2 linked regions of the Chlamydomonas reinhardtii genome follow. The protein of the gene in region 1 binds, or shares a complex with, the protein of each later gene. Links are inferred from orthologs where the notes say so. Each region holds a gene or a part of one and is shown in the gene's direction. Other genes may lie near its edges. The genes, in order: CHLRE_10g434450v5 and CHLRE_12g492300v5.

Region 1 (4,379 bases):
CCAGCATAATACAGCGTCAGCGCGCAATGCAAACGGATATGATGATAGCGGGCTTAGCCTCAACCAGCGGAACTAGTGTTGTTCCGCTCAGCTGCGCGCCCCAGCCCCATGCCCGCCTACCTCTTTCCACCCATACTCACCGGTCTCCCTAACTTGTACCTCCGCCGCTACCACGGCTGCCTTCGCCTGCTCCAGCGCCACCTCCTCCGCCGGCGCCTCCCGCTCTACCGGCGCCGCGCCCTCCTCGTCATCCAGCGGCGTCGGCGGCTCCTCCTCGCCCTCCTCGGCGCGCTGCGCCGCCTTCCGCGCCTCCTCCTCCTCTACGCCGCGGTGGTACGCCGCCAGCGCCTCTCCCGCGGCCTTCACGGCCTCATGTGCAGCTGTCAGCCCCGCCGCCGCCGCGGTGGCGTCGTCCTGAGCCGCCTGCAGCCGCGTGCGGCGGCGGTGCAGCTCCACGCGCCAGTCCGCCAGCTGGTCGCGAGCAAACTTGTCGGCCAGCAGCTTGGAGCTCAGCTCCGGGCCAAAACTGCGGGGAAGGTTGTGCACATGTTCTCGAGCCAGTTCTACGCTGGAGGATGGGTGCTGGGAGACTTGTATCTTGCCGCCAAGCAAGGCGCCCACCTGCACCTCTGACCCAACTGGCGCGGCATGCCAAACCCTCCCCCACCAGCAGTCAACTTACGTGCATGTTTCCGGCCCCTGGCCAGCTGCTATGTGGGCATCTAGGACGGCCTTAGCCTCCTGCCCCAGAGGCGTGGCAGGATCCAACCGAAGCACCGCCTCATGCAGGACAATGTAGCGCGCTAGCTCCTTCCGCTTCAGCGTGGCCTGGATGCCCTTCGCGTCCGCACCCACGCCATAGTCCACGATAGAGACAACGGGCTTCCAAGTGACCTCAAATGGGCACTCCGTCAGCTCCTTGATGTCTTGCGGCAGCTGCGGGGCAGAGGACAGGCGGGAATTGCCGGTTCATGAAGCCGCGGGCTCGTTAAGGGTAGGGAAAAGGGCGTGTCGCAGCGCTAGAGTGCGGACACCGTCTCCAGAAACCCCGCTAAGGACGGCCATTCATATGCGATCCAAGTTTGAATGTTGTCAATTAGGCTTCCGCGGCAGGGGCCGCGGCAAGGCGCGTCCTCGGAGTCCCGGCTCTAAGAGACAAAAGACAAAATGCCCCGCTCCCTCACGTTGTCGTCAGGGGATGGCTCCGGCGGTGGAGGAGGCGCAGCCTCTGGCTTCTTAGGCTTTGGTGCCATGGCTCCGGCACTTTGGCTCTGTAGAGCCTATCACGAAATGGCCATCTCTTCCAAGCAAACTCGCAAGCAAGGTCAAGCTGTATTAATCAAGTCTCATAACGTATGGTCAGAAGCTAAATTTTTACCAGCGACAGTTGACGCAGGGGGGAAAGCATCGACGACTCGAGCTCATCCCTGCTCCAGCGACGGAGCGACCGAGCCCGCACTTGCATGCACGCCGCATCCCCTGCTTCATACTTGCTTCTTTTCGGTATTTCAATTGCGGCATTTTGGGCTGCACAGATTACAGGGGGGTCCTGGCGAGTGCCATTTGCTTGGGTAGCCCCGGTTGAAAATGCTGCCCATCCTTGGGCGCAACGCAGCCGGGTCGGCGCTGGCCCGCCTTGCAGGTGTGGGCGTATTCCCGTTACAGGCGCTGGGAGGACAATGCACGTCTTGGCGAGGGGCTAGTCACGCGTGCAGACGCATCAGCGCAGCCTGAGCAGCCTTTCAGTGCAATGGATATGAAGCTAATACTGTGCTTCTTTCGCTGGCACAGGCCTGCGCTGGGCTGCTGCTGCGTCTCAGTCCAGCCGGGACTACAGCAGCACGCTCATGACTGCGGATAAGCTTGGCCCTGGAGGTCGCTCGTCGGTGCGTAGGGGCTTTGGCGCGGCAGCAGGGGCCTGCGGGCACAATCAGTAGCGGGCATTGCTTGAGCCTTGGCCTCCTTGCTTTCCCCAACGCAGGTAAGCGGCATTACTGCCACCGTTTTCGGTGCAAACGGATTCCTGGGCTCGTACATCGTCAACGAGCTCGCCAAGCGCGGCTCTCAGGTGGTGTGCCCCTTCCGGAGCACGGAGAACGAGGCGATGCACCTAAAGCAAATGGGCGACCTGGGCCAGGTGCGGGCTGTGGGAGGAGACACATGTGGCCATGTGTGTGTGGGGGGGAGGGATGTGCAGGAATGGGTGGGGAAGGGCAGAAAGCCGCAGCAAGGGGCAGCGTGGCACGGTTAATGGAGCCCGCCCCCAACGCCGTGGTCCTGCTATGCAGATTGTGCTGCTGCCGGAGCTGGACATTCGCAACGATGACGACATCAAGCGTGCTATTAGCCGCTCGAATGTTATCATTAACTGCGTGGGCATGCGCCTTCAGACTAAGAACTGGTCGTTTGAGGACGTGCACGTGGACTTCCCCAAGCGCCTGGCGAAGTGAGCAGGGCCGGGCGCAGCGAGCATCAATCGCAAGGCGCGGGAGGCAGCGGGTCCAACACAGAGAGCGGAAGACGGACAGAGCGGACGGGGGTGAAGACTGATGAGAGGGTTCAGGTCAGGGGCAGCCATAGTAGCCTGTGGGAGCTTTAGGGCAGTTCTACCATGCGCGACGTTCAGTGCAGTAGGCATTGCGTGTTAAGTGTTCTTTTACCGCCGGGATGCATACTCCCGAAATGGCACCCGTCACGAGCTTCCAGTGGCAGCGGCACGTGGTGTAGAGCGCGCAGCTCAGGGGCGGTTGACACGGGAGGGCAACTGCGCGCGACCCACGGTCCCCAGGATGCATGCCGTGCACCAGGCACCTATTCCCCACCTGCTGTTCATGTTGCTCGTGCGCTTGATGCTTGCAGGCTGGCGGCGGAGACGGGCCAGGTGCAGCGGCTGATCCACTTCAGCGACATGGGCGCAGACGAGAACCACAAGTCCCTGCGCATGCGCACCAAGGCGGTGGGCGACAAGGAGGTGCTGGACGCCTTCCCGGACGCCACCATCGTGCGGTGAGCCTGCGTGCCTACCTGTTGCATATGCGGGTCTGCGGGATGCGATGAAAAGCATGAGACATTGCGTCAGCGCCGGGGACACACGGGCACGGCGTGTTGTCTCGGCGGCCTGTGTTCTCCTTTCCGTCGCGTTTTGCGCCGCATGCCGTACTGGTTGCCCACCCTCTTACGGACCGCTGTCCGCCCGCCCGCATTTCCCCCTCCCCAGCCCCGGCGACATCGTGGGCATTGAGGACCACTTCTACAACTACCTCATCTACCAGCTCACGCTGACGGTGTTCGCGCCCGTGGTGGAGTCGGGCTCCAACAAAATCCAGCCCACCTACGTGCTGGACGTGGCGGACGCCGTGGCGGCGTTGCTGCGCAAGCCCGACACCGCGGGCAAGACCCTCTACTTGGGCGGGCCCGAGGTGCTCACGTGAGTGGGCGGGCTGTGAGGGTAGCGCAGCTGCAGCGGCCTGCACGGCCGGCCCGGGATGCGCCTAGGTCTCAGGCTTGGGAGCGAGGAAGGCTGTAGCCTTATGCAAATGAGCCGCCTTAAGGCTGACCCGACTGACCCGTATTGTGGTCCGCTCACCTCGGTGCGTGTGCAGCATGCGTGAGGTGTACGACCTGCTCCTCAAGACGCTGCGCATCTACCGCGACGACACCGTGCATCTGCCCGCCTGGGCCGTCAAGGCCATGTACAAGCCCTTCGACTCTGTGCGCCGCATGGTGCGTGGGCAGCCGTCGGGTTGGGTCAAGTCCAATTCGTGCGCTTGTATCAGTACACTGCTGCCTGCCTGACCTTGTCTCTGTGCGCCTGCCCTCCCTCCGCTCCCTGTATCCCTCCGCTCCCCTCGGTCATCTCCACCCGCCGCCTCCTGTCCTCCGCCTCGCCTGCCGCAGCTGCCGGGCCTGCCCATGACCAGCCCTCTGGCGACGGAAGACTACGTGGAGGAGATGCTGCGCGACAAGGTGGTGCCGGCGGGCGCTCTGGGCTATGCCGACCTGGGCATCGTGCCGCAGAAGGTCACGGACGGCCTGGCGATTGAGCCCGTGCGCCACGCGCGCGTGGGAGGCTACCGGTGGGTGGTTGCGGCTTGGGTGCGGGGTACAGGGAGGGACAAGGGGGAGGGAGCAGGCGAGACAAGCTTGAGTTTCGCAGAGTGGACACGTGGCACAGACTCATCCACGCGGACCTGTTCATGGTTGCTGCAGGTGGGGCGATATGTCGGCGGTGGCCAAGGACATCCCGGAGTCGGTCCGGAAGTACTACAACATCAAGCAGTGAGGGCGCAGACGCATCCAAGCACAGCACTGGAGGCGCCACAGCGTTATGTGCTGTTGGTCTTGTGGCGGCACTGCGTGCCGGCCGGAGCTTATCTTAG
Region 2 (3,812 bases), on another chromosome or scaffold:
GTGAGGCGCCGGTGATGCGGGTGAGGCTTGTGGGGCGGGGGAGGGGGAGCGCTGGCGGGAGCACGGGCGGGGGCAAGCCCTGGTTGTGGTTAGGCGGTGATTGGGCGACGAGGGGCCAAGGCGAGGGTTGGGCCGAAGGACAGTCGAGATTCAAGTTTACGTGTGGACGCATTGTACCGGTATCTGCCTGCTGTAGCTAGTTGGCTCAAGCCTGTAATATGCCGGCGTGCCTCCCTCTCCTCAACACCCTCAGGACCGCGAGTCTCGCGCCACGGGCCGCCTGGAGCTGGAGCAGCAGTCGTACGAGATCCGGGCGCTTATACGCGAGGCCGCCGAGGCGTGGGGTCCCCGCAAGACGCCGCCGCCCATCACCGCAGCATCCGACTTCTACACATTCCACGTGCCGCTGCGCATCGCCGCGGCAGCGGGGCCGGCGGGGCCAGCTGCGTCAGGCGTGGCAGAGGAGGCGGAGGGAGCCGGGGAGGTCAATGCTGGCAGGAGCAGCAGCACTGGCTCTAGGTTGCAACAGGCTGCGTCTGTGTCATCCTCGTCGTCGGCGGCGGCGGCACAGCGGGGTGCGTCAGGAGGCCGGCTGGTGTCTCGGCGCTAGGCGCCAGTTTGTGGCGGTTCAGTGTTGGCGGTGCAGCTGTAGGGCATGGTACTAGGGTCGAGTTGTGGATGTGTCGGGAGTTTTAAACAGAGCAGCATCAGGGCTGCCCAGACTGGTACTGGCAGTTTCGTCGAAGGTCGTATGTGCTCGCCGTTTTGCACTTTCGTTGTTGTCAGTGAACCTAGCCCCAGTTTTGCTTCACATGTTCCGGGGTCGTGGTGCGTGGGCAGTGGACTCGCAGCGCGCTGGCCGGTCATGTTTCCGCAGCGCGGATGCATTGGTGATACACAATATAGCTGAGCGGTAGAGGACCGTTGCCGATGTTGTTTGCAGTGGCAATCGAGCAGCAGGCGGAGGCGGGCCCTGCACAGAGACTGGGCCGCCGCAGGAGATGAACTGCAGGTGAGGAGGACCCATGCAGGGACCGCTGGTGCGGCGCCCAACATCGGTGCAGTGACGGTTGCGCGGGCTTTAGGGAGCTGTTGCGCGGTCTTTAGGGAGCTGTTCAGTTCGTCCGTAGTCGGTACACGCCGTGGCTCCCGTTGGGGCGGTCGCGCTATGGGTTGCGGTGTAGGCACTGCGTGTGCTATGGGACAAGGTTAAGGCTGGTGGGGGATTCCATGCCGTTGGGATGAGTCCGTCAATGAGGGGAGGCCAGGGACAAGGCTTGAGACCGTGGAGGTGCAGCCTGTAACGTTGTGGCTACGTGCAGAGGTTGGTGTGTGGGGGGCGTAGCAGGCCAGCGCTGGTGAGTCACAGCGCGGCACGGGGCGGCGGGCAGCCAACGTGGGGGGGACCGCACTATGCCCGCATGCCACTGCCCATCCCACGTCCCGGCAACTATCAGATGCCCTGCAGAAGGCACAGACAGCCGATTGGAAGGGATATATTCGCTTTTTTTGGCCGTGGAACTCGACGTCGTCCCGGCTAATTTCGTTTTTTGCGCTACGCTTTGAGCCTTTGGCCCCGGCTTACTTTACGATACCTTTCATTAGGAGCTGCTAGCAGGCAAGTGGCGTTTGCGGTGCAGAGACAGTGCTTTCACTCGCGACGTGGTCGCAGAGGAGCCAAACAGCGGTCTCCGTTCACTGCAGGTCGCAATCATGTCGAAGCCCGCAGCAGCTGCTAAGGGCCTGGAGTTTGTGGTCAGCAAGGTGGACAACGTTGTGAACTGGGCGCGTGCGGGCTCCATCTGGCCCATGACCTTCGGCCTGGCCTGCTGCGCGGTGGAGATGATGCATGCTGGCGCTTCACGCTATGACCTTGATCGCTACGGCATTATCTTCCGTCCCTCGCCACGCCAGTCCGATGCCATGATTGTTGCGGGCACACTCACAAACAAGATGGCGCCCGCGCTGCGCAAGGTGTATGACCAGATGCCTGAGCCCAAGTGGGTGGTGTCCATGGGCAGCTGCGCGAACGGTGGCGGCTACTATCACTACTCCTACGCGGTTGTGCGCGGCTGCGACCGTGTCGTGCCCGTGGACGTGTATGTGCCCGGCTGCCCGCCCACCGCGGAGGGCCTGCTGTACGGCCTCCTGCAGCTGCAGAAGAAGATCTACCGGTCAAAGACCACGCAGGTGAGCAGGGCAGGGGATGGGCGTGGAGGGGGGACGTGGCGAGGGGGAGACGGAGCGTAGGCGTGCGCAGAGTGATTTGCGGAGGTGGATGGATGGAATATAGGCAACCAGCGGTGTGTGCTTGCACAAACGGATGCGGCGGTTCTAGGGCCGGCACCAGCCAACTGAACGGCCCTACTGAACGGCCCACGTGCCAAGGGGTTTGGGGGGCAGGGAGGCGAGCTCGGTGCGTCCTTGCTGCTGCCCGGGGCATGCCGCGTCCGCGGGACTGATTGGGCTTTATGGTGATGCGCTTGGTTTGGACGCATGCAGCGACTGTCCATGCAGCGTGTCCTCCCGGGAGGTTGCGCAGCTCCCAAGCCACTGCCTCCTACATCCACCGCACTCCCTCGGCCTGCATGAACCCCGTACCCACCGTGCAGATCTGGTACAAGAAGTAAGCAGCTGGCGCAGGAGCTTGGAACCGCTGCGCGCAGGCGCAGCAGCAGCAGAAAAGCGGCGGTTGGAGGGATGTCAGCGCTGGGGAGGCGCTCTCTCGGCCGGAACCAGTGGGGGCACGGCTGTTGCTCGTTACGCACGGCTGTCTCAGCTTAAGCGTCCCAGGGCCACAGGAGCTGTATGCTGGAAGCGGCAGGCGGGGAGGCGCTTAGGGGTGTGCACGGCGGGCTTGGAAATAACTGGGGGGAACTAGCTTGGCGTTGTGGCGTGCGGCACAGTGGCGCCGTGTACTCTCCTGTTGTGGAGAAGGCTTATTGCATTAGCTTAGCAACCTATTACAGGTGGCAGACAGTGTATACTATAGGCTTCTTTGTGGAAGCACATGCTTGGGTATGAAATGAGGTGCAGCGGTTTGGCGCTAATCGGTGCAGATGAAGTTAGGCGTGATGAACATGGTAGGCCCGGTAGTGGGCCTGGTCAATGAGAACTAGTCTGCATGTAAATGGCTTGGTCACGCTGCGTCGATGTGCCATGCATGCGACGTCGGGACAGGGTCTGGTGAATTGTGTTTCAGCGGTAATGCTGAGTGCGGTTCCAATGGGGACACGGTCGGAGGCTGCTGTCGCTCGGTGCTGAGTGCGTGGGGAGAAGGCGCCATCCGATATCGTCGTAGCATGACGGTTGCGTTTGGTCTCCTGTTCCGTTGCAGCATACCAACGGCCGTGGCAAACGCAGGGAAGCGGGAGCTGGCAGGGGCAGCGGCTGACGGGGGACAGGGCGGATGCAGCCAAGCCAATGGCAAGCTGGTCAACAATCCAGCTCGGCCGTCGTAGGAAAACAATAGAATAACACATTCATGTATAGAGAGGTAACAGGACCGCGGGCGAGTTGAGCAAGAGTCCAGAAACGTCTACTTGCACTCTTGGCATAAATCCAATCTTGAATCTATCGCTTGCTAATATTGGGTACTCGAAATGCTTCACGGATCCAAACAAGGAGTGCGGAGTGCAGAGAATGGACGCTGTCGTGGCGCATTCCGCTCGGGCGCTGCACCTCGCGCCCGCGGGAGTTCTATGATGTGCTCTGCATCAGCAACACTGAGCGCTGCGCCAAAGGTGCGGTAGATCTAAGTTCATCTCTGGTGAAAAGGTCTCGACAAGTAAACATCGCTCCACCCTTGCGCG

Evidence for each region.
Region 2: the proteins of CHLRE_10g434450v5 (region 1) and CHLRE_12g492300v5 are in contact, whole or in part, in a cryo-EM structure (PDB 8BEE), measured with the Arabidopsis thaliana proteins. The link is inferred for Chlamydomonas reinhardtii from reciprocal best matches to the Arabidopsis thaliana genes AT2G20360 and AT5G11770. Residues at the interface, in NP_565469.1 of Arabidopsis thaliana: Arg100, Gly101, Ser102, Glu103, Asp104, Arg107, Lys110, Leu111, Lys122, Thr151, Arg152, Asn153, Phe154, Pro330, Phe331, Pro332; in NP_196738.1 of Arabidopsis thaliana: Arg140, Glu148, Arg150, Trp151, Asp176, Arg177, Ile178, Val179, Pro180, Val181, Asp182, Lys205, Arg208, Arg209, His214, Trp215, Trp216, Asn217, Lys218.

Annotation. Positions count from the first base shown.
Region 1 is NC_057013.1:2,276,689-2,281,067, forward strand, and holds the start of CHLRE_10g434450v5 (uncharacterized protein), read left to right. Parts: upstream 1-1,479; 5' UTR 1,480-1,587; coding exon 1,588-1,642; intron 1,643-1,791; coding exon 1,792-1,886; intron 1,887-1,981; coding exon 1,982-2,137; intron 2,138-2,288; coding exon 2,289-2,446; intron 2,447-2,859; coding exon 2,860-3,006; intron 3,007-3,217; coding exon 3,218-3,427; intron 3,428-3,602; coding exon 3,603-3,723; intron 3,724-3,897; coding exon 3,898-4,076; intron 4,077-4,209; coding exon 4,210-4,282; 3' UTR 4,283-4,379. Other genes in the region: CHLRE_10g434400v5 (uncharacterized protein), read right to left, coding at 141-526, 683-936, 1,185-1,253. UniProt on the Arabidopsis thaliana protein: Accessory subunit of the mitochondrial membrane respiratory chain NADH dehydrogenase (Complex I), that is believed not to be involved in catalysis. Complex I functions in the transfer of electrons from NADH to the respiratory chain.
Region 2 is NC_057015.1:623,193-627,004, reverse strand, and holds CHLRE_12g492300v5 (uncharacterized protein), read left to right. Parts: upstream 1-1,448; 5' UTR 1,449-1,618; intron 1,619-1,704; 5' UTR 1,705-1,713; coding exon 1,714-2,190; intron 2,191-2,612; coding exon 2,613-2,630; 3' UTR 2,631-3,142; downstream 3,143-3,812. Other genes in the region: CHLRE_12g492250v5 (uncharacterized protein), read left to right, coding at 1-20, 254-610; CHLRE_12g492350v5 (uncharacterized protein), read left to right, coding at 3,705-3,743. UniProt on the Arabidopsis thaliana protein: Core subunit of the mitochondrial membrane respiratory chain NADH dehydrogenase (Complex I) that is believed to belong to the minimal assembly required for catalysis. Complex I functions in the transfer of electrons from NADH to the respiratory chain.